Notamacropus eugenii: one gene and its partners. The protein of the gene in region 1 interacts with the protein of each later gene in a biochemical or structural test. Links are inferred from orthologs where the notes say so. Each region holds a gene or a part of one and is shown in the gene's direction. Other genes may lie near its edges.

Region 1 (7,335 bases):
AATCTCACCTCAGACACTTGACAGTGTGACCTTGGGCAAGTCACTTAACCCCAATTGCCTCATCCTGGGTCATCTCCAATCATCCTGATGAATTTCTGGTCACTAGATTCAGATGACTCTGGAGGAGAAGTGAGGCTGGAGACCTGCACAGCCCTCACTCACTCAAAATAAAGTCAAGTACAAGTCATGTCATTATTTCTCTGATGGCATGGTCTTCTTTGGCAACAAAGGATGAACATACACACGACATGACATGACATAACGTGCCCATAAAATACCAAGATAAGTCCCATTATTCAAAATAATGTCTGATAGGTGCCTTGTCCTTGACAGTCATAAACAGAAGAATGCTCTGTCAGCTTCATCCAGTCTTGTAGTTGCTAGGGTCACAACAAGTATCTGAGACTAGATTTGAACTTAAGAAGATCAGCCTTCCTGACTCCAAACCTGGCACTCTATCCACTGTGCCACGTAGCTATCTTCCTACTGCTCCTATCTCCTTTCACCTCATTCTTTACATGAAGGGTTGGCCCTTCTTTCCATGGCAAACCCTTCTATGTGCATCCTTGATTTCATATTCTCCTATCTTATCTAGTATATTGCGCCTCCTATTATTGCCTTCTCCCTAATCTTCATTCTCTCCCTGTCTACTGTCTTTTGCCCTCCTGCCTACAAATTAAGTTTTTCTTCCCTATATTTAAAAAAACATCATAATTATTCTCTCCTTTTCTTCTGTTTATTTATTGGTTGGTCAAAATGATATTTAAATAAATCTGGTTGGGGGAAAAATCTTTGCATTAAATAACTCTTGATAAAAGTCCGAAATACAGAAACTATAGAGAATTGACACAGATATATAAGATTCCTAATGGACAAATCATCAAAAAGTTTTTAAAAGAAGAAACACAAACTATCAGTGACCACGCAAAAATGTTCAAAGTCACTAAAAATCAGAGAAAGGCAAATTAAAATAATCATGAAGTTTCACCTCATATCTATTAAGTTAGCAAAGATGCTGAAATATGGAAAAATATTGTTCTAAAGATTGTTGGATCTGTGATTTGAATCAACTATTCTGGAAAATATGAGGAATTATTCAAGAAAAGTTACTGAATTGTTCATAACCTTTGGCCCATAGATCCCACTTCTGGGATCATGTTGTTCTGTCTTTTTGGTCATGTCCAACTTCATGACCCCATTTGAGGTTTTCTTGGCAAAGATATTGAAGTGGTTTGCCATTTTCCTCTACAGATAATTTTATAGATGAGGAAACTGAGGCAAACAGTTAAGTGACTTGCCCAGCTAGTAAGTATCTGAGGCCAGATTTGAACTCATGAAGATGAGTCTTGCTGATTCCAAGCCAAGTGCTGTACCCACTATACCAGCTACCTGATCTCCTAGATTATATTTCAACAATAATGATAGAAAGTCTATACATTAAAAAAAAATGCTTATAGAAGCATTACCTGTGACAACCTGGAATCAAAATATGTGCCCAACAGCTGGGGAAAAGCTGGTATGTATATGCAATAGAATATTACAATACCATAAAAAAAATTGTGAAAATGAGAAATTTAGAGAAACACAAGACTTACATGAAGAAAGCAGAGCCAAAGGAAGTGTACATAATGCCTACAACAATAAACCAAGAAAAAGCAAAATAAGTCAGATTCGGTGGCCAATACTGGTGCCAACAAGTCATATTGATGAGATCCTTAGGCAAGTATCTAAGGCCTTCCACAGTTTGGGTCCAATTTTTAACTGTATTTCATTCATAGGATTCCCTTTCATATAGCTTTGATGATTTTGTGCATTCACATAAGCCAACCAATGCCTATAATTGTCTTCACAATTCCTTTTACATTTTCATTTGTAAAAATCTTGTTCTTCTATCAAGACTCTACACACCGGTAACATCAATGATGTTTCTCATTGAAGCAAAGTATTTTCTCTCTACTCAAACTTTTCCAGAGCACTTGAGATCCCTCTTTTGCTCCCATTACACCCACCTTGTATTACACTTATCTGACTACAAGTCTTTAAACTCTCTCAGAGACAAGGTAAGTTCCATCTGTTATCATTTCTTTGTTGGATTCATTTATTCTATTTATTTCCTCTTCTATTTGTGCCTAGCCTAAGATGAATAAAAATCCTACCATTCTGTCAACATAGTATCCTATATCTCCTCCCTTTCTCAGTCCAGCTTCTAGAATCTAGATAAAGCTGTTTATGCTCAGTACCTCCACTTCCCTTCCTTTCACTTTTTTTCTTAACTCTGCATCCTGATTTCTGATGTCATAACTCAGCTGAAAGTGCTTCCTCCAAAGTTACCAATGATCTCTTGATTGCCAAACTCAATGCTTTTTATTCAATACTCATTCTTCTTGACCTCTCCATGGCACCTGACCCTACTGAACACCCTCTTCTGGATGCTTCTCTCTGGATTTTGGGACTGTTTTCTCTTGGTTCTACTCCTCCCCACATGACCACTCCTTATTTTCCTTTGCGGGACTATCATGCATATCACCCCCTCACTCCCACCCCCTAATCCTGGCCTTCTTCTCTTTTCTCTCTTGACTCTCACTTGGTGACTTGATCAGCTGCCATGGGATCAATTATTATCTCTATCCCTGGGAATCATTTTTATGATTCCCATATCTATTTATCCAATCCTATTCTCTCTTCTGAGCTCCAGCCTCACATTATCAACTACCTATTAGATGTTTCTCACTGGATGTTCAATGAGCATCTCAAACTCTGCATGTCCCACCTGAGGCTCAGATTTTCCTCAGACCAGCCTCTTTCAACACTTCTCTATTTCTGTAGAGGACACCAGCATCCTTCCAGGCTCCCAGACTCTCAGTTTTGTAGTAACAGTCATACTACTAAGCTCGGTATCATCCCCCCACTCTTACCTCATACAGTTGTTCAGTTATCAGATCTTGTCCTGTCTATCTCCACAACATCTCTTAAATTCATCCCCTTCTCTCTACTCTATCACCACCCTAGTTCAGAGCCTCTAGTTGTACATTCATTCACTCATACCCCCAACTCACCTGGTCTTGGGGGGAGGGCATCAGAATATTCCTTGCTCCCCCCATTGCCACTTCCAAACTCTCTCTGCCACTATAACTCAACAACATCTTCTTTCATTTTTTATCCAAATTTATCATACAATCTAGATGCTAGTGGCTTTTATCAATTAACAACAACAGCTAACATTTATATAGAGCTTACTATGTGTCAGGAACTGTGCTAAAAGCTTTACAATTATTATCTTATTTAATCCTCACAACAACTCTGTGAGATAGGTGCTATTATCATCCCCATTTTACAGGTGAGGAAACTGAGGCAAATGTGACTTGCCTAGGGTCATACAGCTAATAAATATCTGGGGTGAAATTTGAACTCAGGTCTTCCTGACTTCAGGCTTGGTACTCTATTAACTGCTCCACAATATTATCCTTTCTTCATTAATGAGTTCTGTGGCTGGCTCAAAATCTTTCTCTCCACCCTACTCCTCACACTGGGAACTTATTCATACTAGTGCTCTCTCAAATACCCTAATTTCCAAGTTCTTCAATCTATTTAGTTCCCATGACTACTCTCACTGGTGATATTACCAGATCTCATGAATTTGATCATCATCTCTAGGTAGATGATCCCCAGTTCTATTTATTCAGCCCTTCTCTCTCCCTTAGGCTATATATAGTTTTTCATTAGCAGCCATCTTTGGGGCATCTCAAATTGGATGTCCTGTAGGTATCTCAAGTTCAACATGTCCAAGAGAGAACTCATCATTTCTCCTAAACCCTCTTCTGAACTTCTCTATTTTTTCACTCAGTAAAATTCTGCCCTCTCTTCCTCTCATCCCACGCCTACTCCCTATTAAGAATCAAAGGGAAACAAAACCCCTATCACAAACATCTGTGGTCAAGTACAACAAATTTCAGCATTGGCTAGGTCTTAAAGAAAAAAAAAAGTGTGTGTATGCACACGCACATATAAATACACACACATATGTCTGCATATATACATGTATATCTGTCCCATTCTGCAACTTTCACTTCTTATCAAGAGTTGTATAGTATGTTTCATCATCGGTTCTCTAGAACTGTTTATTTGTTACATTGTTCAGAGTTCCTAACTCTTTCAAAGCTGTTTATTTCTACTATATTGTTATCACTGTACAAATTGTTCTGGTTCTAATCACTTCACTATGCATCAGTTCAGGTGGCACAGTGAATAGAACATTGCAATAGCCTGCTAGTGGTTCTACCTGACGTCCCTCCCTATTCCAATCCATTGTCCATTTAGTCACCAAAGTAATTTCCCTAAATTATTCTCCTACTCAGTAAACCCCAGTAGCTCTTTATTGCCTCCAGAATCATACAAAATGCTCTGTTTGGTATTCAAAGACTTCAACACCTAGCCATATCCAAACTTCCCAGTCTTCTTACACGTTACTCCCCAGGCAGTACCTGGCAGGAACTCATCACTCCAGAATCCAGTGAAACTTCCTTCTGTGCTATTTCCATCCCTCTGCTCCAAGCATTTTCTCTACTGTCTCCCAACCCTGGAAAACACTGCTTCCTCAATTCTGACTGCTGATTCCCCTGGTTTCTTTTATGTCTCACCTAAAATCTCATCTTTTATAAGAAGTCTTTCACAATCTCTAATTTCCTATTTTTCTTGTGTATCAACTATAGATTTGTATAGCTTTGTTTGCATATTGTCTTAGCCCTATGAATTGTAAGCTCCTTTAGGGTAGAGAACTCTTTTTTTTGCTTCTTTTTGTATCCTCAGCACTTTTCACAGTGCCTAGCACATAGTAGGTGCTTACAAATATTGATCGATTAATTGGTTGATTGAGCTGCTGATCTTGCACATTGCTCTTTAGGGTTCAGCTGCTGATAAATTCAGGTATGGACTCCAATTCCAACATCTGAGATCTCACAAGGTTGAAACTTAGACCATTCCGTTTCCAATACTCATACACTTAAGAGCAGGAAAGCAAAAAAAATACAAAGGCAAAAAACCAGATACATCATATTCACAGCACATGCTAACCCAAGCTATGTATGTCTGAGTGTGGGGGGGGGGGGAGGAAGTGTTGGAGATAGGGAATGGGCAGCAGGAGGCTGCTGAGGACATGGCTATCATGTGACATCACCTCCATAATGTCATGATTCTCTTCCAGAACAAGGAACAAACAACATGTCCCATCCAAACAAAGGCTCACAAAGTACTCCATGACTTGAGCATCACGAGGAAAGGCTAATGTCCATTTGGTCATTTGGTGCCTTTTGAATGTACATTCAACAGCTCAGCAGTCAAAATCAAATGGTGTTTTCTTCACTGGTGGTAAATGGATGGGAAATAATCATAGAATACCTGTATATTCCCTCTGCTCCAGATCTTCAGAAACTTCCAGAAGCCAGCTCACCAAATCCCTGCATCTGCGCGTTATTGGGCCCTCATTGACCAGTGCCCTGCCACTTCAGATGGATTTTGTAGGTATGAATGTTTACGCCTTAAGTGTAGGATCTATTTCAGTTTTGTTTCTATCACCTTTAGCATGTAGCAAAGTGCCTGATGTTATTAAGTAGGAACTTAATAATGGTTGTTTGTTGATTAATAGTGGATATAAGGCTTGCCTTGTCAGCAAGATCTGGGTTAATGTTTTCCTTCTGACACATACTGTGGGTAATGTGGGTAAGATGCTTAACTCTCAATGCTAGACAATTCTATAAAACTTGTAAATTACAGAGGAATTGAGAATGTGTATTTGTGAAGAAAGTTTCTGCACAAGGATGAAATCACAAGCTAAAAAAAATTCAGTTCAATTCAATAAGCATTCAATAAACACATACTACGTGCAAGGTTCTAAACAAGGTATGGTAGCTTCAAAGGCAAATGAACAAAAAAAAACCACTCAAACCCAACTAGTCCCTTCAATCAAGAAGTTTAAATTGTGTTACGGTGGAAGCTATTAAATACAGGTGAGAAATGATGAAGGGGTGATGAGGGCCTGAATTGTGTGAATGGAGGGGGGGTGCATATAAAAGAAAAGAGTCCAATAGGACCGATTTTTTGAAATGTTCTTTGACAAACAGAGCATACACAGAACATAAAATATGTTGATGGGCTAAGCAGTTGAGTGGGTATGTGGGTTAACCTGTTGTTATTAATTTCAACTGATGAAAGGATGAATTCTAGTGTAAAATTTGAAGGTACCTAATAAATGGGTAAGTGAGGAGAGGCAGGAGAAAGATTTGACTTCGAATAATACATAGGATTCCCAAGCACTCGTTTTTTTTGTCTGTAGGGTTACAGGCTAATTCGTAGGCTCAAGTCAACACACATCCATTAAAAATGTGAAGTTACACATTGTCCAAAGTTTTTGAGAGTCACAAGACGTTTTCCTTGCAACAGCACTGTAAGGTAGGCAATGCAGAGCAGCAGGAACTGCATTTTGTGGATGAGGTCGGGCGACGCTCGCAGGGACACAGGAGGCGTCGTGTCTCCGCTGGCTGCAAGTCCCACATTCTTTCCGCTGCGGAAAACGCAAAGATAGCTCCTGTGGCAGGGCTTGCGATCTGAAGGGACAGAACCTGAACAGAACAGCTCGTACGAGCCAGCCCGTAGCGAGTTCAAGGGAAGGTACAACGCTTTAACAACGTGAGGAAAGGTCGTCACCGGGTCTCGGGGAAGCCTTCTTGGAGCACAGTACCTGAACTGGGCTTTGAAGGCGTTTCCACAGGTGGGCCTCGCGGCAGCGAAAGCACGAGCGCGGGGGCGGGGAAGACGGGCGCCCCGTCCGGCAGGAGGAGCAGGGGGTGGTCCGCAGGAAGAGAGAAATGAGGTCATCTGTCTCTTTAAAAATGGCGGTGCCCGGCCTGCCTCTCTCCCCATTGGCTGCGCGAGGCCGAAGAACAGCGGGTAGGAAGCGGGGAGCACGTGGTAGGAAGACGGGAGCCCGAGCTTCTACGGCAAGTCCAAGGGAGCAAGATGGCCGCGGCGGAGGAAGAGAACGCGTCGGGCACCGACCCGGAGATGGACGAGCTTCTGGAAAGTAAGGGCCGGACTGGGGACCCCGAGAGGCCAGAGGGCCCGTGGTCCTGGGCGTGGAGGGGGACGAAAAGCGCAGACGCTGGCGCTGGGGGGGGGCGTCTTTCTCCTCAGGGGCCACCCCGCTCAGGTCGGGGGTCTGCCGCGAGGAGGGGCCGTCAACCCCCGGCGTGGGGGGACGGCAAGGTGCGGCGGACAGCCTCGGGAGCCCAGGACGTGGTCCCAGCCGCCCCCCACAGTGCGCTTGGTGAAGCCAGTTCTCTT
Region 2 (7,724 bases), on another chromosome or scaffold:
CTCTTGTTTGATCATAAATTCGCCATAATAATTCTCTATGGTCAGATTCTTTTTTTGTTGATTTTTGCTCATCTTTTATAGCCTTTTCCCTTACTTTAAAATTTAAGCTCTGCATCTGTGGTGTAAGGGCTCTATTCCAAGCTTCTTGTGCCAGGGGTTGGAGGCCCTGGTTTTTTATCTGGTGCTGCACTGATGTTGTTCTGAGGTCCACATGGATCCTTGTGTCTGGTGTTGTGCTGGGGGGGTGATGTATGGGGTGGCTGGTGCTGTTGGAGGCCAAAGGGTTCTGGCAGCTTACCTGGTGCTGAGGTGGGGTTCCAGTGCTGATATCTGCCTGTGTGAGGCCTACTGAGATTTCCATTGCTGGAATCTGCCTGTTTGCTTGGCTATGCTGGGTTACATGATGGGTCCTGATGCTAGCCTTTGCCTGTTTCCTTAGCACATGCAAGGTCCAGGTGTACTGAGGGATGTGGGTGGGTCCTAGCACTGACATCTGCCTGTTTGCTGGGGGCTACACTGAAGCTCTTGGCAGCCTCAGTGCTGGTGTCTGCCCATTAGCCTTACTATGTCAAGTCATTTTGGAGTCCTGATGTTGGCATTTGCCTGCTTCACCCCACTGAGGATTAGGACCTCCTGCTAGTTGGCTAAGGCAGGCTTGCTTCTAGCTTCCCAGGATGCTTCCTGTCCTGGACTGCACTACTCTTTTACCTGAGTGAGACAGATCCTTTCTGTTGACCTTCCAAGTTTCTTGGGCTTGGAGATTGTTTTCACCCTGTCTTTTTGCTGGTTCTGCTCTTCTAGGATTCATTTTGGGGCACTGTTTTATTGATGTTTAGAGGTGAATATGGGAGTATTAAGGCTATTTCCTGCTTACTCCACCAACTTGGCCCCCAGAAGAGCTCTATCTTCCATATTTTAAGAAAAAATAAATTTCATTAGATTTTTCAGGTTTTGGCAAACTCACATTTTCCACGTGGGGTATCCTGATGGAAACTGATGGCTAGCTTGTTTTAGATTCTCCAAGACTGTGGTCTGTTTTGGGCTGCCCTAGGAAGGGGAAAGCCTATCCAGGTTAGCAGTTTCTTGTATCTAGTCTTCTGAAAGACTTACCTGATTTTTTTAAAAAAAAGACTGTTTGGGGGAACAGTTTTATCTGATTCTCTCTATATTTGTTGTTTCTTCCATGTTACAGAGTCACTGAGGTCTCAAGGTCTTTCTCCTTCAGATAGCCTAGTATTCTGTCTCTCTCTGAGGAGAGCAGAATGGTCAGCCTCATGGCCCCAGTCTCTTCCTCCTTGCCTGGCATGAGTTAAGAATCTCCCTTGACCTTGATAAGGCTAAGCTACAGACACTCTAGATATTTCTATCTATAGTACCCTGGGAATCTTATCTAGACAGACCCATGTGAACACACATGTGTGTTCATCCTTCATTGCCAAAGAAGACCATGACATCAGAGAAATAATGACATGACTTGCACTTGACTTTGTTTTTTGAGTGAGGGAAGGCTGTGCAGGGCTCTAGCCTCACTTCTCCTCCAGAGCCATCTTAATCCAGTGACCAGATATCCATCAGGATGACTGGAGAGGACCCAAGATGAGGGAACTGGGGATAAGTGACTTGCTCAAGGTCACACAGCTACTGAGTGTCGTGTCTGAGGTGAGATTTGAACTCAGGTCCTCCTGATTCCTGTACTGGTTCTCTATCCACTGCACCACCTATCTGCCCTGTGAACACACATAACATAATGGGGCAACTTACTACAAGTCAGAGGCTTATGACTTCAATCACTTCATTACAGATGATCCTGACTATGAAGAATTGTTGACTATGCTGGAAGTATCATCCTCTCTTCTGTTCATGATGCTGCTTCTGTCCATTGTCTTTGCCTTGCATCAGAAGAACCACTGAAACTGCAAAGATTTTGACATAACCACCGTGTTGACCATACCATTGAGATCTAAAACTCATTCCTTCTAATGATCTCTCTAGAAGATTCTTAGAACCTTGTCATCATGGGGTGGTGTGTTATAGAACTATTTCAGCGATTTTCCCTTTGCCCACAACATGGATTAGGTTAGTTTTCTCTGAAATGCAACAAAACTGTCCCTCAGAATTCATTGGCCTATCATTATTGAAGGAATTATAAGCATTAAGTGAACCACACTGACTCCATCTTATGATTTAACTCTAGATCTAAATTCCTTTTCCATATTCAATTGTGGGTCTAGTCCACTTTCTTTCTTGTAAGAAAACTTAATTTAATTGTGCAGAAAATCTCATTATGTTATTTGAGCCTAACCCCCTGCATGGGTACCACTACCTGTTGTTTTCAGACCCTTAACTAAGGACCTGGTAATGCTCACCAGAAATCCAGTCAGATCCAAAGACTGATGCAAGGAGTTTTCTCACAGTTGTACATCTCAAGCAACCTATGCCTTATCTGCAAACTGGCCCTGTACTGGTGACTCAGTTACTGTTTCTTTGTTTATTTGATTACATACAGACACTTGGAGGGCAGTGGGACAGCTCTTTTTCTGATTTCAGGGAATTGCACCTGTTCACTCTCCCTGCTCCCAAGTTTTGAAATTCATTCAACAAGGAAAGTCCCTAATCTTTCCTCCAATTAGAAATCAGGTGACCTAATCTTGTGCCCTGTTTTATATACTGTTGTTTGCTTTTAACAGATAAAAATCTGTTTGCTCCTGTATTTGGGGTCCAGGGTGAAATTAAGAAGGCCTGGTTCTAAATTGTTATGCAATTGCCATGCATTGCTTAATAAACTGATATACTTGGAAGCTCAGGCCTTTGTTTCCTCAGTTATTTCAGATTTCACCCATCACCCTGTTAATATCTATGCCTCCTTAATTTGGCACTGCTCTGCTAGATCCTCCTCCAGTTCATGCCTTTTAACCATAGGTGTCCCTCAAGGCTCTTTCCTGGATCCTTTTCTCTTTCTCCTATATCCTGCTTCATTTGGTCATGTTGTCAGTTCCCATGTACTTAACTACTATCTCTATGCTGATGATTCATAAATTTACTTATCCTGCCCCAACCTCTCTGTTGACCTCTAATCTTACGTCTCCAACTATCTTTTAAACCTTACAAACTGGATGTCTAGTAGAAATCTTAAACTAAATATATCCAAAGCAGAACTCATTATTCTCCCTAAAAACTCTCCTGCTTCCATCTTCCCTATTACCATAGAAGGCAACATCAATCTCCCATTCCTCAGGCTTGCAACCTAAAAGCCATCCTCAAGTCTGCACTGTCACCTATCATATCCAATTTGTTGCCAAGGCCTGTAAATTTCACCTTTTCACATCAATTATATTTACCTCCTTCTATTCTCAGTTACTGCTAACACTGTAATGCAAACCTTCATCAGCTTACACCTGGACTATTGTAATAGCCTGGCAATGCGTCTGCCTGACTATCTTTCCCTGCTCCAAATCATCCTCCATTCACCAATATCATCAATGTGATTTTCCTCAAAGTGCAGATAGGACCATGCCACACCTTTTCTCAATAAACTCTAGTAGCTTTCTATCACCTCCAGAATCAAATACAGAAACCTCTTTTTAGCATTCAAAACCTTTTATAATCTATCTTTCTAGTCTCCTTACACCTTACTCCCCAACATGAACTTTTGGATACAGTGACTCTGGCCCCCTGGCTCTTCTGTGAACTCCCTCTCAGTTCTGGACATTTTCTAAGACTGTCCTCTCTGTCTAAAACACTTCCCTCCTTAACTCTGCATCCTGGCTTCTTTCTCTGGCTTTTTTTAAAGTTTCAACTAAAATTCTATCTTTTATAAACCCTTTTAATTCTGGTTCCTTCCCTCTGTTAATTGTTTTCTTTTTATCCTGTAACATAGCTTGTTTGTATATGTTTATTTGAATGTGACTAGACTATGAGCTCCTTGAGGGTCATGACTGTCTTTTGCCTCTTCGTATTCCTCAGTGCTCAGGACAGTGCTTGGTACGTAGTAGTTGCTTAATAGGTGTTGATTGATTTCCCAGAGCTTCTGAATATAGAAAATGAAATACCAATTGAGAGAATTCACAGATAACTGCCAGAAAAAAAAAATCAAGGCTGCAAACACAAATTGGTTAAATTTAAAAAGGATTTTGATAAAGACTTTGAAATGAAAAGGAAAGAAAATTTGAACAAAAGAAGACTATTCTGCCCCCACTAGAAAACAGGAGAATGGAATAATATGTTCTTAAGAGCAGTGGAGCTCAAGATTCAGCACAAGGTGACCTACCCTGCAATTTTAAATTCAATCACACATGAAAAAAAACAGGCATTCAATAATAAAGAGGCAGTTGAAACATTTTTAGCAAGGAAACCAGAACTGAAGGGATTATTTGCTTTTCAAATACCTCAAAAAATAGAAATGCAGGAGAAGTGAATAAGTGAAACAATCAAGGATGGCAAGAGCAACAGAGTGAAAGTAGAAAAACCAGTAAGAAATTTCTTTCTATATGTGTAAAAAGAGAAAGTGGTAAAGGCAGAGGTGGGTATGGAGCATTGTGGATATCCTGCCTATAGATTAATGCTTCTTTTGTGGGACTACATTACATTATGGGAAGGTATGTGAAATGGGAGGGTGGGCGAGAGGGAGGGAAGCAGGGGAAAAGAGAGGAGAAAGTGATACGCTAGGTTTAAATCAAGGGCTAGCAATGGGGGGAAGTTGACCCCTGTGGTCTCAGCCTCCAAGGGAATAGTAAGGATAAGGAAATGATTGAAAAGGGAGTTCCACTGATAAATGCTCCTATGACTGAAGAGAGTTTGTTTGTGAAGGGAGATGGAGACCTTGTACTGGATGTGTCCTGATGGATGTGGTGCTTGAAAAGTCTACATGTTCTATCTTGGGTATGGGGGAGTCAAGATTCCTGGAAAAAAGGTACTTGGGGGAATGAGGAAGCATGGGTCCAGGAAGGAAATTTTGAGGCAAATGGAGAAAGAAGGCAAGTAGAACAGACTATAGAGTAATAGTGGACTGCATAATGAGTGATGTAAAGGGGGAAGGACCCTACTGTGGAACAGTGTCCTCTCTGACACCTGAAATATTTGACATTGTTCTGGGAGACAGGTACAGTGGAAAAGGGGAATCTATGGGTGAGTTCTACCATTTTAGAAAGTGCCTAGAAGTAAAATGATTCTCTTGAAAGCTTTGGTCACATGAGAAATACAGAGAAAAGAGAGAGGATAGGTAATTATCATGATCATGAAACAGAGAATGATGGTCTAGAGCAGACAAAAAAGAGAAATGGATATTGAAGAGAGAGGAATCCTTTTAGAAAATGGGTGCAAAAATGAAATAAAAAACCCTAAGAAATAAGACTAGTTGAAGGAGGAGGAAAAGAATGGCAAATCTACTTGACTAAGAAGAGAAAGGAGGAATTATATAAACAGATAAAAGCAGGAAAGGAAAAAAATTAATATGCAAAACAAGAAAGTGTTAACAAATTAGAGGAGGGTATCAGGGATGAACAAAAATCTCAGTGGAAACTCAGGCACCTTAAAAAAATTAAAGTAAAATAACTTAAGGACCACAGTATTGTAATTATTACAGAAGAGGGGAAAAATCATAACTTTTATTAGAAAAGGAGAAAAATACAAATCAGATTCTCATAACTTTAAATGTAAATGGAGTAAACAATCCAACACAATGAAAAAGTTATAGGTTTGATAAGAAAACAAAACCCTACAATCTGTTTTCTCATTAAAAATATTTTACTAAAGAAAGATATACACAAAAATAAAATTGAGGGAATAGAAAAATTTACTATACGTCAAATGAATCTAAAAAAGGCAGGATTTGCCATCATACTATATTAAAAAGCAAAAACAAACATTCAAAAAATAAAAAGTTATAAACAAAAAACCTACATTATGCTGAAATGAACAATGCAATAGACAACAAACCAGTATCAGTAATGAACTTACATGCTATAAATGCCTTAGCATCCAAATCCTTAAAAAAAACATTAACTGAGCTATAAGAATATATGGACAGTAACACAATACTGACAGGTGATTTCAATATACTTCTTTCAGTTTTGGATAAGTCTAACAGAAAAATGACAAAAACACAAATTCAGAAAGGAGTAAATTATAGGAGAAACTAGAATTATAAAATTTATGGGATCTTTTAAATGGTCCTACAAAAGAATATGCATATTTATCACCCCACATTAAACTTCTACAAAAATTTGCCATGTGCAAAGGCACAGAGACAGTGTAAATACATATTAAAAGGCAGAAATGGTTAATACCTCCTTTGTAAACCATAATGCAATACAACAGTAATCATTTCAGGGACCACAAACAAAAGATACAGACCAAATGGAGACTTAATAATGAAATTCTAAAGAACAAGTGAGTCAAAGAACAAAATCATTGGAACAATGAATAATAAAATTATAATGATGAAACAACATATCAAAATTTCTGTGATGCAACTAACAGTCACTAGGGAAAAATGATACCTTTACAAACATAAAATAACAAAATAGAAAAAGAGAGGGTTCATGAAGTAAATGTGCATAAAAAATTAGAAAACCAACAAATAAACCTAAAATAAGGACAAAGGATATTAAAAATTAAAGAAGAAATATGTAAATTATTAACAACAAATAACCATAGAAATGATTAATAAAACTAAAGCCTGATTCTTTGAAAAGACTAATAAAATTGATAAACACTGAGTTAATCTGATTAAAAAGAAAAGCAGAAAATCAAATTAATAAAATATCGAATAAGGAAAGTAAAATCATAGCTAAGCCAGGTGAAACAAAAAAAATCAAAACAGTTACATGCTAACAAAACAGAACATGAAAGACACAGAGGAATAGCTTCAAAAATATAAAATAATTGCACTATCAGAAGATGAGATAGAGAACTTAGATAAGTGAATCTCAGAAAAGGAGAATTCTATCAAACTTTTAAATAGCATTTAGTAACTGGACTTCAAAAATTATTCTCAAAAATTGAGAAAGAAAACATCTTATCAGAATCATCATATAATACAAATATATTCCTAACATATAAAATGGGGAAAAATAAAAATACAGAAAGAAAACCATAGGCCAACAATGAACATTGACCCTCAAATTGTTAAACAGAATCCTGTCAGACTATAATGATTTATTCAAGAACTCATTCATTATTACCAAGTGGGATTTATGTCAGGGATGGAAAGATGGTTTAACATTAAGAAAACAATTCAACATAACTAATCATATGAAAAACCAAAACATGCAAATCCATATAATAATCTCAAAAGATGCAAAAAAAGCCTTTGATGAAGTACAATAATTCTTTATTTGAAACAAAAAACAAAACAAAACAAAAAAAACAACCTTTAAAGTATAGGCATAGGGGGACATTTTTAAAATATAAAAAACATCTCTCTAAAACTGAAACCAAGAATCATATGTAAGGGGTATTCACTAGAACCTTTTCCAATAAATATGGGAGTGAAGCAAAGATTTCTGCTCTCCTCACTATTATTTGATATAGTTCTATAATTGCTAGTAACAGCAATAAGAAGAGAAACTAAAAGCATAAAGATAGGTAAAAAAAGAAGATAAAACTCTCCTTGTTTGCTGATAATATAATTTTCTTGGAAAAATCTAGGGAATCAGCAAAGGTACTCATTGAGACAATAGCTTTAGCAAAGTTGTAGCCTACAAAATAAATTCTCAAAAAATCTC
Region 3 (7,728 bases), on another chromosome or scaffold:
AATGCCTAAGTTAGAGGATGAAAGCCCCAAAATGAAGTCCAATAGTCAAAGGATTTCATGTGTCATTATCTACCACATGGCCTAATTTTTCTCTAATCTTTCCCTACCACTATTTCCCCTTACCTAAGGGGTCCAATTAAATTTGCTAAGAAGTATCAACAGAGTGGAATGAGAACCCAAAGTAATTTGTTAATAAATGGCTCCCTCATCCACCTACCTCCCTTCAAACTTGGCCTCTGAATGACTTCAGAAGCAAAAGGAAGTCATCTCATCCAGTAGTCCCTGTTGAGATAGGTAGTAGGCCCAGAATGGATCTCCCATCAATTATTAGATATATAGTAATAAATAGCTATATTTTGTTGTTGTTCAGTCATTTCAGTTGTATCCTACTCTTTGTGACCCCATTTGACGTTTCCTTAGCAAAGAGTGGTTTGCCACTTCTTTCTCCAGCTCGTTTTACAGATGAATTTGCAAGGGAATGTTCTCTTTACACACACACACACACACACACACACACACACACACACACACTCTCTCTCTCTCTCTCTCTCTCTCTCTCTCTCTCTCTCTCTCTCTCTCTCTCTCTCTGTATGACCAAAGATAGCTTAGGATTCAACTGTCATTGCTGATGAATGGCAAGGGGGGCCGGGGGAATGAGAAAGACACAAGAAGGCTGAGTAAACTGCCTGAAGGTATCCAATCGAAGTGGGATCATAAAAGTAGAGTTGGGAATCAATAATCCAAGAACTGCCAAACCCTCGATAACCCCAGGAAGGGAGACTGTATCCTACACCCAGTTCATGTGGTTTTGAATTTCCAGGTCACTGTACTAACCAAAACCCATGAAGGCAAGAATATAGGAGTACATGTGGCATCTGGATTGAGATTGAGTCAAGAGTTCCCGAAGCTACCCCACCCTCCTCTCCAAAAAATCCTGGTCTCAAAATGGTCCAAGAACAACAGAGATACTCTTTTGCCACTACCTGACTCAAAACCTTGGTAGTGAGAGTACCCTGCTTAAAAGCAGCTACCTTACAAAATACTTCTAAGTCAATGTGAATCTATAGCCATCAGTATGGTAAACAAGCAGCTGGCATTGCACATGTTTGAATACTGATGTGTCACACCCATCTTGCTAAGATGCAACCTTGCCTGGACACATCTCCTTGAATCTTGTGAATTAAGCTGCCAAGCCCTAGGAAGACAAGTAGGATAGGGGCATACTATTGTTACAGCACGGAGGTTCTTCCCTGCTTGGACTAACGGGGAAACCTGAGACCAGTTAGAGAAGCCATTAAAGCTCTTTTGGAGCAGTGACATTTTCTTCACCCCAAGGTGGGGTGTGATTTGCTCCAAGTCCCAAAGCGGGTTAAGTGATCTAGGTTCTAGTCCCAGTGGCAACATCAGCTCCCAAGTCCAATGCTTTTTCTACTCTCATTCATTGCTTTTCTTGATTCTGTTGGGAAATTTACTTTTTTTTGCCTTTCTTTTGACATAGGCTCTTCAAGGATACAAAAAAATGGGACTCTGTTTACCTTTGCAACTTTTAATGGGCCTAGCTTGTTCAATCTCTGTACCTAAAACGTGGTTACCAGAAGAAGCTTGCTCAAGTCTGGGGTCCAGATCTGTTGGACCAGTGGCTAGAACCTGGTACTAATGCGAAGGCCAGGCATCCTGGAGACCATCCAAAGCATCTATGGATCAACAGTGCCATCCCTGTTTATGAAGAATATCAGAGGACAGATGCCTAAGATATGTACAATCTGGTAAGGGGGGTGAGACACAACTGTGAAAATTAGACAAATGGAAGAAATGGAATTGTGAGAGGTTCCTATTTGGGATACTGCTCACCACGACCACATCTCTGTCACTCACCAATGAGAAGCAGCACCAGGATAACAATGAGAACCACAAAGAAGGTGTTGCCATAGCTCACCACCAGTTGCACCAGGCGGGACTTAAAGATCTTCTGCCATCTAACGAGAAAGAAACAGAAGCTGGAGATACTCAAAGTACCCTGGGATCCCTCTCAGCCCCAGATACTTTCTCAACTTTCCAGTCTGGGGAGTCTGTGCACCTGGACCGACAATTGCTTAATTACAACAGACTGACACTTCTGGAGAGAAGTATTAGGTAAGTGTTAGAACTAAGGAGAATCAGCTTGCATAAGGACCCCCAACCTCCCACATCCACCTCCATCCTAGGAACCTGGCTGCACCGCAGACACCCAAAAGTGAAAGGGGAATGGGAAGAGAAATTGGGAGGATTTCATGTAGGTGAAACACTTTATCTAAAAAATATGAAAAGCAGATGGCTCTGCCTCCCTTTATGAAGAATCATTCCACTAGGGAAGCCCTGGAGGTCCTATCAATTAGCCACCAAACCTATACACGTAGGTCATGGGGCTCAGCATTGCACAATTCATCATAAAGGCACCTTGAGCTCTGAAGTTGATCACTCAATAGGCTGTACCTTTTGGGAGAAATGAAAGGAATGCAGAGCAGCAGCACAGCAAAGACCTCTGCATAGAGGAAGGTAGCAACCGCAGTCCACTGAAGACTCATCCTTAGTCACTAGTTGGTTTTGACCTGGAGGCAGAATAGACCAACCTCTGAAATGTCTGAAAAGATTTGAGGAAACACAGGCCATGAGAAAGGGGTGGAGGTGAGGAGCTGATCAATGAGCAACAAATTCTTGAAGAAACTGTGCTGATCCATACCTCACCAATCCTTCTTCTCAGCTTTAAAAACCATACTACGTTCCTTCAAACAGGAATTAAAACAAGCAAGTGAATTAAGCCACATTAACATAGCTGGGGGAACCTATCAACAACTTCTAAAGGACCAGGGGACCCCTTGGTTCTGGTAAATAAATTAATCTACTACATAATTTACTGAAGTCTTCAGAGTATGGGTTTTAAAAGCCCCAAACACATGAACAGACAGTGTGATTCACAGGACTACTATGTCCCTTAAACCAGGCACCCAAGTAGAATCTTGAGATGCCAGAAGTCAAAACTAACTGACTTCCGGTGGGAAAAGCACTAAAGAGGATGTGTTTGATTCCCAAAACAGGCACCTGAGTGACTCTGGGTAGGCCATTTAATCTCGCCGGGTTTTATTTTATTTTTCCAATTTGTATAATACAATAACAAATTAATAACGATAATAACCGCAGTCTCTATTTACATGGAGATATAAAGTTTTGCAAATCACTTCGCACAGATTTGGTAAAATGAATTAATTGGAGTAGATGACTTGGGCCCCTGCAAAGGAGAATCTGGAAATGGCTAGGTCTTCCAGATAGGCCAGAATAAGGTCCCCTTCTCTCCAAACAAGTAACCCTACTCCACCCCTCTGTTGGAACCTGATCAGGGCCCTCTGACTATGCAGCAGAAACCCTTCGCTCACGCCCTCACTAAATGCACCTCCTGACCAATTTTCCCCGGCACTCTGCGACAGATCTGGTTAGCTGGCAATGCCAGGACGCAGGCCTAGCTCCGCTCCCTGGGGCCGAAGGGGTCCTGCTCCCTTGGCAGCAGCCACCCCCACCGCCTGCGCGGCCTCGGCCGTCTCCCAGTACCCTACCCCCTCCCCGCCCAGGCATCGGGACGTCCCCTGTCCCCCCTCCTCTCCGGTCTTCAGCTCCACGCTCGTCCGAAGCGAGGGGGCCGCCACCTTCAGGGCCCGGTAGCTTCACGGGGGTCCTTTCCCTTAGTTCATGGCTCCCCCCTCAACTTCTGGCTGGCCCCCTGGCCGGGTCGGACCCGCCCTCTTCTCACCTGCGCGCCTCGGCACCACAGCCGTAAGATTTGAGTGCCCGAACTCAGTATTCTCCCACCCAAATTCCGCCCCTCAGCCTTGTGTCCACAGACCGGAAATCGGAAGTTGGAGGGTCAGGCCCCGCCTCCTGTGCAGTCTTCCACCAACCACCGCACCGCTTCCACCTACTGCTACAGCAGCCTCGGAGGGCAGGTAGGAAAGCGTGAGTGCGGGAATGCGCATGCCCAGGAAAGGGGCCAGAGGGCGCTCTCTACCGATGACGACACCCCTGAGGGCGGGGCCAGCCGGGGGTGGGAGGGGTGGGAAATGGCCTCTCTAGTCAACTGAGTCCTCCAATATCTCTATGATTTCGGAGGCGAGGCGGGGAGTAGCTAGAAGCGTGAGGTGGGCGGGGTCTCTGTAGCCCGCGGCGGCCGAAGCAGCTGCAGCTCCTCCTCCTCCTCCTCCTCCCCCCTCCCCATCTCGCTCGCCCCCGGGGAGGGGTGGGTGGGGATTATGGGCCGGTGGCGGAGTCACTGTCGCTCCAGTCTGGCTGAGGAGCGGTCGAGTTTGCTGTCCTGGGGAGGGGCCGCGCCCTGGGAGGAGGAGGAGGAGGAGGAGGAGGAGGAAGAAACAGAGGAGGAGGAAGAGAAGATAGCACTCCCTTCCCCGGCCCCCCTCCACCCCAAATCCTGACCCTACGTGGTCCACGGGGCTGTCTGGGGGTAGGGATCACTGACTGACTGAGGAGGGTGAAGAGGAGAGATAGAGACAGAGAGGAGAGAGCAGAGAGAGGAGAGACAAACTGGAGAGAGGAAAAGTGTAGAGACAGAAAGGAGTGACTGACACACAGACAGACTGAAAAGAGCCAGAGACATAGAGGAGGGACCCAAGATTGACAAAAGAGAGACCCAGATTGACAGGTACCTGCTTGGTTGCTAGGGCAACCACCTCAGTGGATGCCCTGTGGCACCCCTGGTTTCCTAGGAAACGGCCTAAGGGGCCTGCCCGCAAGGCCTTAGTTGCCCGGGTAACCTCCGCGGCCTCCGCTAGAAGCTCGGGTGCCCACCCTTCCAGGCGGGCGCCATGCAGGTGCTCTCGACGGCGCGGCCCTCCCGGGCGGCCTCCCTGCGGCGCCTGGCCGTGGTGCTGGCCCTGACGGCCTACGGGGCGCACAAGATCTACCCCCTGGTCCGCCAGTGCCTGGTGACGCCGCACCCGCGGGGCCCCCCGGGCCGGGCCGAGGCGGAGGCCCGCAGCGCCTCGGGCTCTTCGGCCGCCGGGGCCACGGGCAGTGGCGCCAGCGGCAGTACCAGCGCCAGCGCCAACCGCGAATTCTTGCGCCGGCTGCTGTGGCTGCTGCGGCTCCTGTTCCCCAAGGTCCTGTGCCGGGAGACCGCGCTCCTGGGCCTGCACACGGCGGCGCTGGTCAGCCGCACCTTCCTGTCCGTGTACGTGGCCCGCCTGGATGGCCGCCTGGCCCGCTGCATCGTGCGCAAGCAGCCGCGGGCCTTCAGCTGGCAGCTGCTGCAGTGGTTGCTCATCGCGCTGCCCGCCACCTTCGTGAACAGCGCCATCCGCTACCTGGAGGGCCGCCTGGCGCTGGCCTTCCGCAGCCGCCTCGTGGAGCACGCTTACCGCCTCTATTTCAGCCAGCAAACCTACTACCGAGTCAGCAACATGGACGGCCGCCTGCGCAACCCTGACCAGTCCCTCACTGAGGACGTGGTAGCCTTCGCTGCCTCAGTGGCCCACCTCTACTCCAACCTGACCAAGCCCTTGCTCGATGTGGCAGTGACCTCGTACACCCTGGTGCGCACAGCTCGCTCCCGGGGAGCCAGCACATCCTGGCCGTCGGCCATCGCAGGCCTGGTGGTCTTCCTCACGGCCAAGGTGCTTCGGGCCTGCTCCCCCAAATTCGGAGAGCTGGTGGCCGAGGAGGCCCGCCGCAAAGGGGAACTGCGCTACATGCACTCGAGAGTGGTGGCCAACTCGGAGGAGATTGCCTTCTACGGAGGCCACGAGGTGGGGAGCCATGGGGGATGTGGAGGATGACAGGGGAGACAGGGCCCACATTGGGGAAAGGCTTCAGTTGTCCAAGGAGTTGGTGGCAGAAATGAGGAAGGAAAGGGGGGAGGGGTATTGGGGTTAGTGGTGGAAGAGGAACCTAATGGGGAGGTGGGGGTTCAGACTTTGCGGTCGGGTGAAAAAAAGGGAGGTTTCAGGAAAGGTTGGAGATTGATGTAGGAGTATGTTGTGTGTGTGTGTGTGTGTGTGTGTGTGTGTGTGTGTGTGTGTGTGTGTGTGTGTGTGTGTAGGGGAAGTGTCCCTGGGGGTAGCACAGGGGAAGATCATGATGGTGAGGGGTTCTCTCCCAGCTCCATCTAAATTACAAACTGCTGCTTTCTTTGACACTTCTGTTTATTTTGTTCTCGAGACTGGCTGCCAGAAAATCTTAGCGGTTTCAGACTAGAGCATCCCATTCAAGTCTCTGCTTGTCTATCTTCATACCCGAGAGCCTCCCTGGCCCCCTCCAACCTTGTTCCTTGAGGTTCTTCCAGTCCTCCATGCTCTAGGGCAAGTTTCTCTTTGCCCAGAGCCCTACGAGGTCCCAGGGCTGGGTCTGTCTAACCTAATGACTGAGCTGGGAAGATGCCAAGGACTGGGAATGTATTCTCTGAGGACCAAGCTCTTGGCTTTCATGCTAAGGGGTGGGGAAGAAGAAATGCAGAGTCAGAGGCACTCAGAACCACAGAATGCAGGGCTTTCAAAGTTTGGGAAATCTGGGATGTTTTTGGTTCCAGTGGAAGGAGGAGGGCAGCTTGGGGCCAGGGAAAGGGGGAAATGGAGAACTGCCATTTGCCATGTGACTTGAGCTGGTTGAATCAAGACCCGGCTCCTTGATTGTCTGACCCCTCCCTATTCTCTGTTGTTGAAACCCAGGTAGCCCTCTGATGGGCCTCTGGAAGGCGGGGGTGTTCAAAGAATGACTCAGACCCAAGCTCGGTTAACAAGCGGCACCAGCAAAGACTGGCCATTTGGGATTAGGGGTCAGGTCTTTGCTGACCTCCTTCCTCGTCTCTAGGATCCAATACCAACATGGCTCCTTGCCTGCAAAGTTTCTCAGTCGGATTGGGGCCCCGTGCCTTCTCCCCCACCCCCCTTCCTCATTTCCTTGAAAAGGAGGGAATGAAGGGATGCTGAGATAACAGACCTAGTCGACAGAGATCACGGGGAAGTTGTGTAACTCCTGTTTGTCCTGGTCTCAGCTGCCAGTTTTCCCCTTGTATCCTTTCCTCCTCCCACACTCTACTGTATACCTATTTCCCCGCTAGGGAATTGGATACTTGAAGGCTATCTTGAGCTCATTTTTCCCACCCCCAGCAGGGCCCCTCGGGGGACTAGGCTGGTATGGGCCACTTCCTGCCCATGCTTCCCCACCAAGGGAGGGTGTCCGCCCTTCCGCAACCCTGGCCAAATCCCACTGTCCTCTCGGGGAGACCGCTCCCGGATCAGCCTTCTCCTGGCAGAGTCTGCCCCCGGCAAAAAGATCAGGAATAAGATCTGTTATGGTTTTCGCTGCCAGTGGCTAGGGCCTCTGGAATGTTCTAACGGGGTGGAATCAGCCTCTGCCTTAACTGCATAACCATGGGGCTCCGGGAGAGGTTACTCCGGGCCAACGCTCTCTTTATCACCTTCTCTTCCCTTCTTGGGGCTGGGGGCTTCATTGCGCAGGCGCCAACCTCCTTGTTTCACTTTCACCCTGTGCTGCAGAATGGGTATCTCCCCTGTCCCTCTGCCTGTTGACGTACTTTCACTTCGAGCTCTTAGTGGGAAGGGGCCCTAAAGGGGACGGTCTTTCTCCAAGATTCCTTTGTACTAAGCTGTGTAATTTGGGGAAACCTTTATCCCGATGTTTGTTCAGCAGGTGACACGTGGCTTGTGGGGGAAGTGTGTAATCGGGTAG

What was found.
Region 2: the proteins of PEX19 (region 1) and ABCD2 form a complex in vitro, tested with the Homo sapiens proteins (3 studies listed by BioGRID and IntAct, with this or other methods). The link is inferred for Notamacropus eugenii from reciprocal best matches to the Homo sapiens genes PEX19 and ABCD2.
Region 3: the proteins of PEX19 (region 1) and ABCD1 form a complex in vitro, tested with the Homo sapiens proteins (3 studies listed by BioGRID and IntAct, with this or other methods). The link is inferred for Notamacropus eugenii from reciprocal best matches to the Homo sapiens genes PEX19 and ABCD1.

Annotation. Positions count from the first base shown.
Region 1 is NC_092873.1:385,304,552-385,311,886, reverse strand, and holds the start of PEX19 (peroxisomal biogenesis factor 19), read left to right. Parts: upstream 1-4,325; 5' UTR 4,326-7,011; coding exon 7,012-7,075; intron 7,076-7,335. UniProt on the Homo sapiens protein: Necessary for early peroxisomal biogenesis. Acts both as a cytosolic chaperone and as an import receptor for peroxisomal membrane proteins (PMPs).
Region 2 is NC_092874.1:212,092,223-212,099,946, forward strand, and holds the start of ABCD2 (ATP-binding cassette sub-family D member 2), read left to right. Parts: upstream 1-4,717; 5' UTR 4,718-7,724.
Region 3 is NC_092879.1:22,531,495-22,539,222, forward strand, and holds the start of ABCD1 (ATP-binding cassette sub-family D member 1), read left to right. Parts: upstream 1-4,721; 5' UTR 4,722-4,847; coding exon 4,848-5,786; intron 5,787-7,728. Other genes in the region: BCAP31 (B-cell receptor-associated protein 31), read right to left, coding at 1,876-1,976, 2,473-2,564. UniProt on the Homo sapiens protein: ATP-dependent transporter of the ATP-binding cassette (ABC) family involved in the transport of very long chain fatty acid (VLCFA)-CoA from the cytosol to the peroxisome lumen.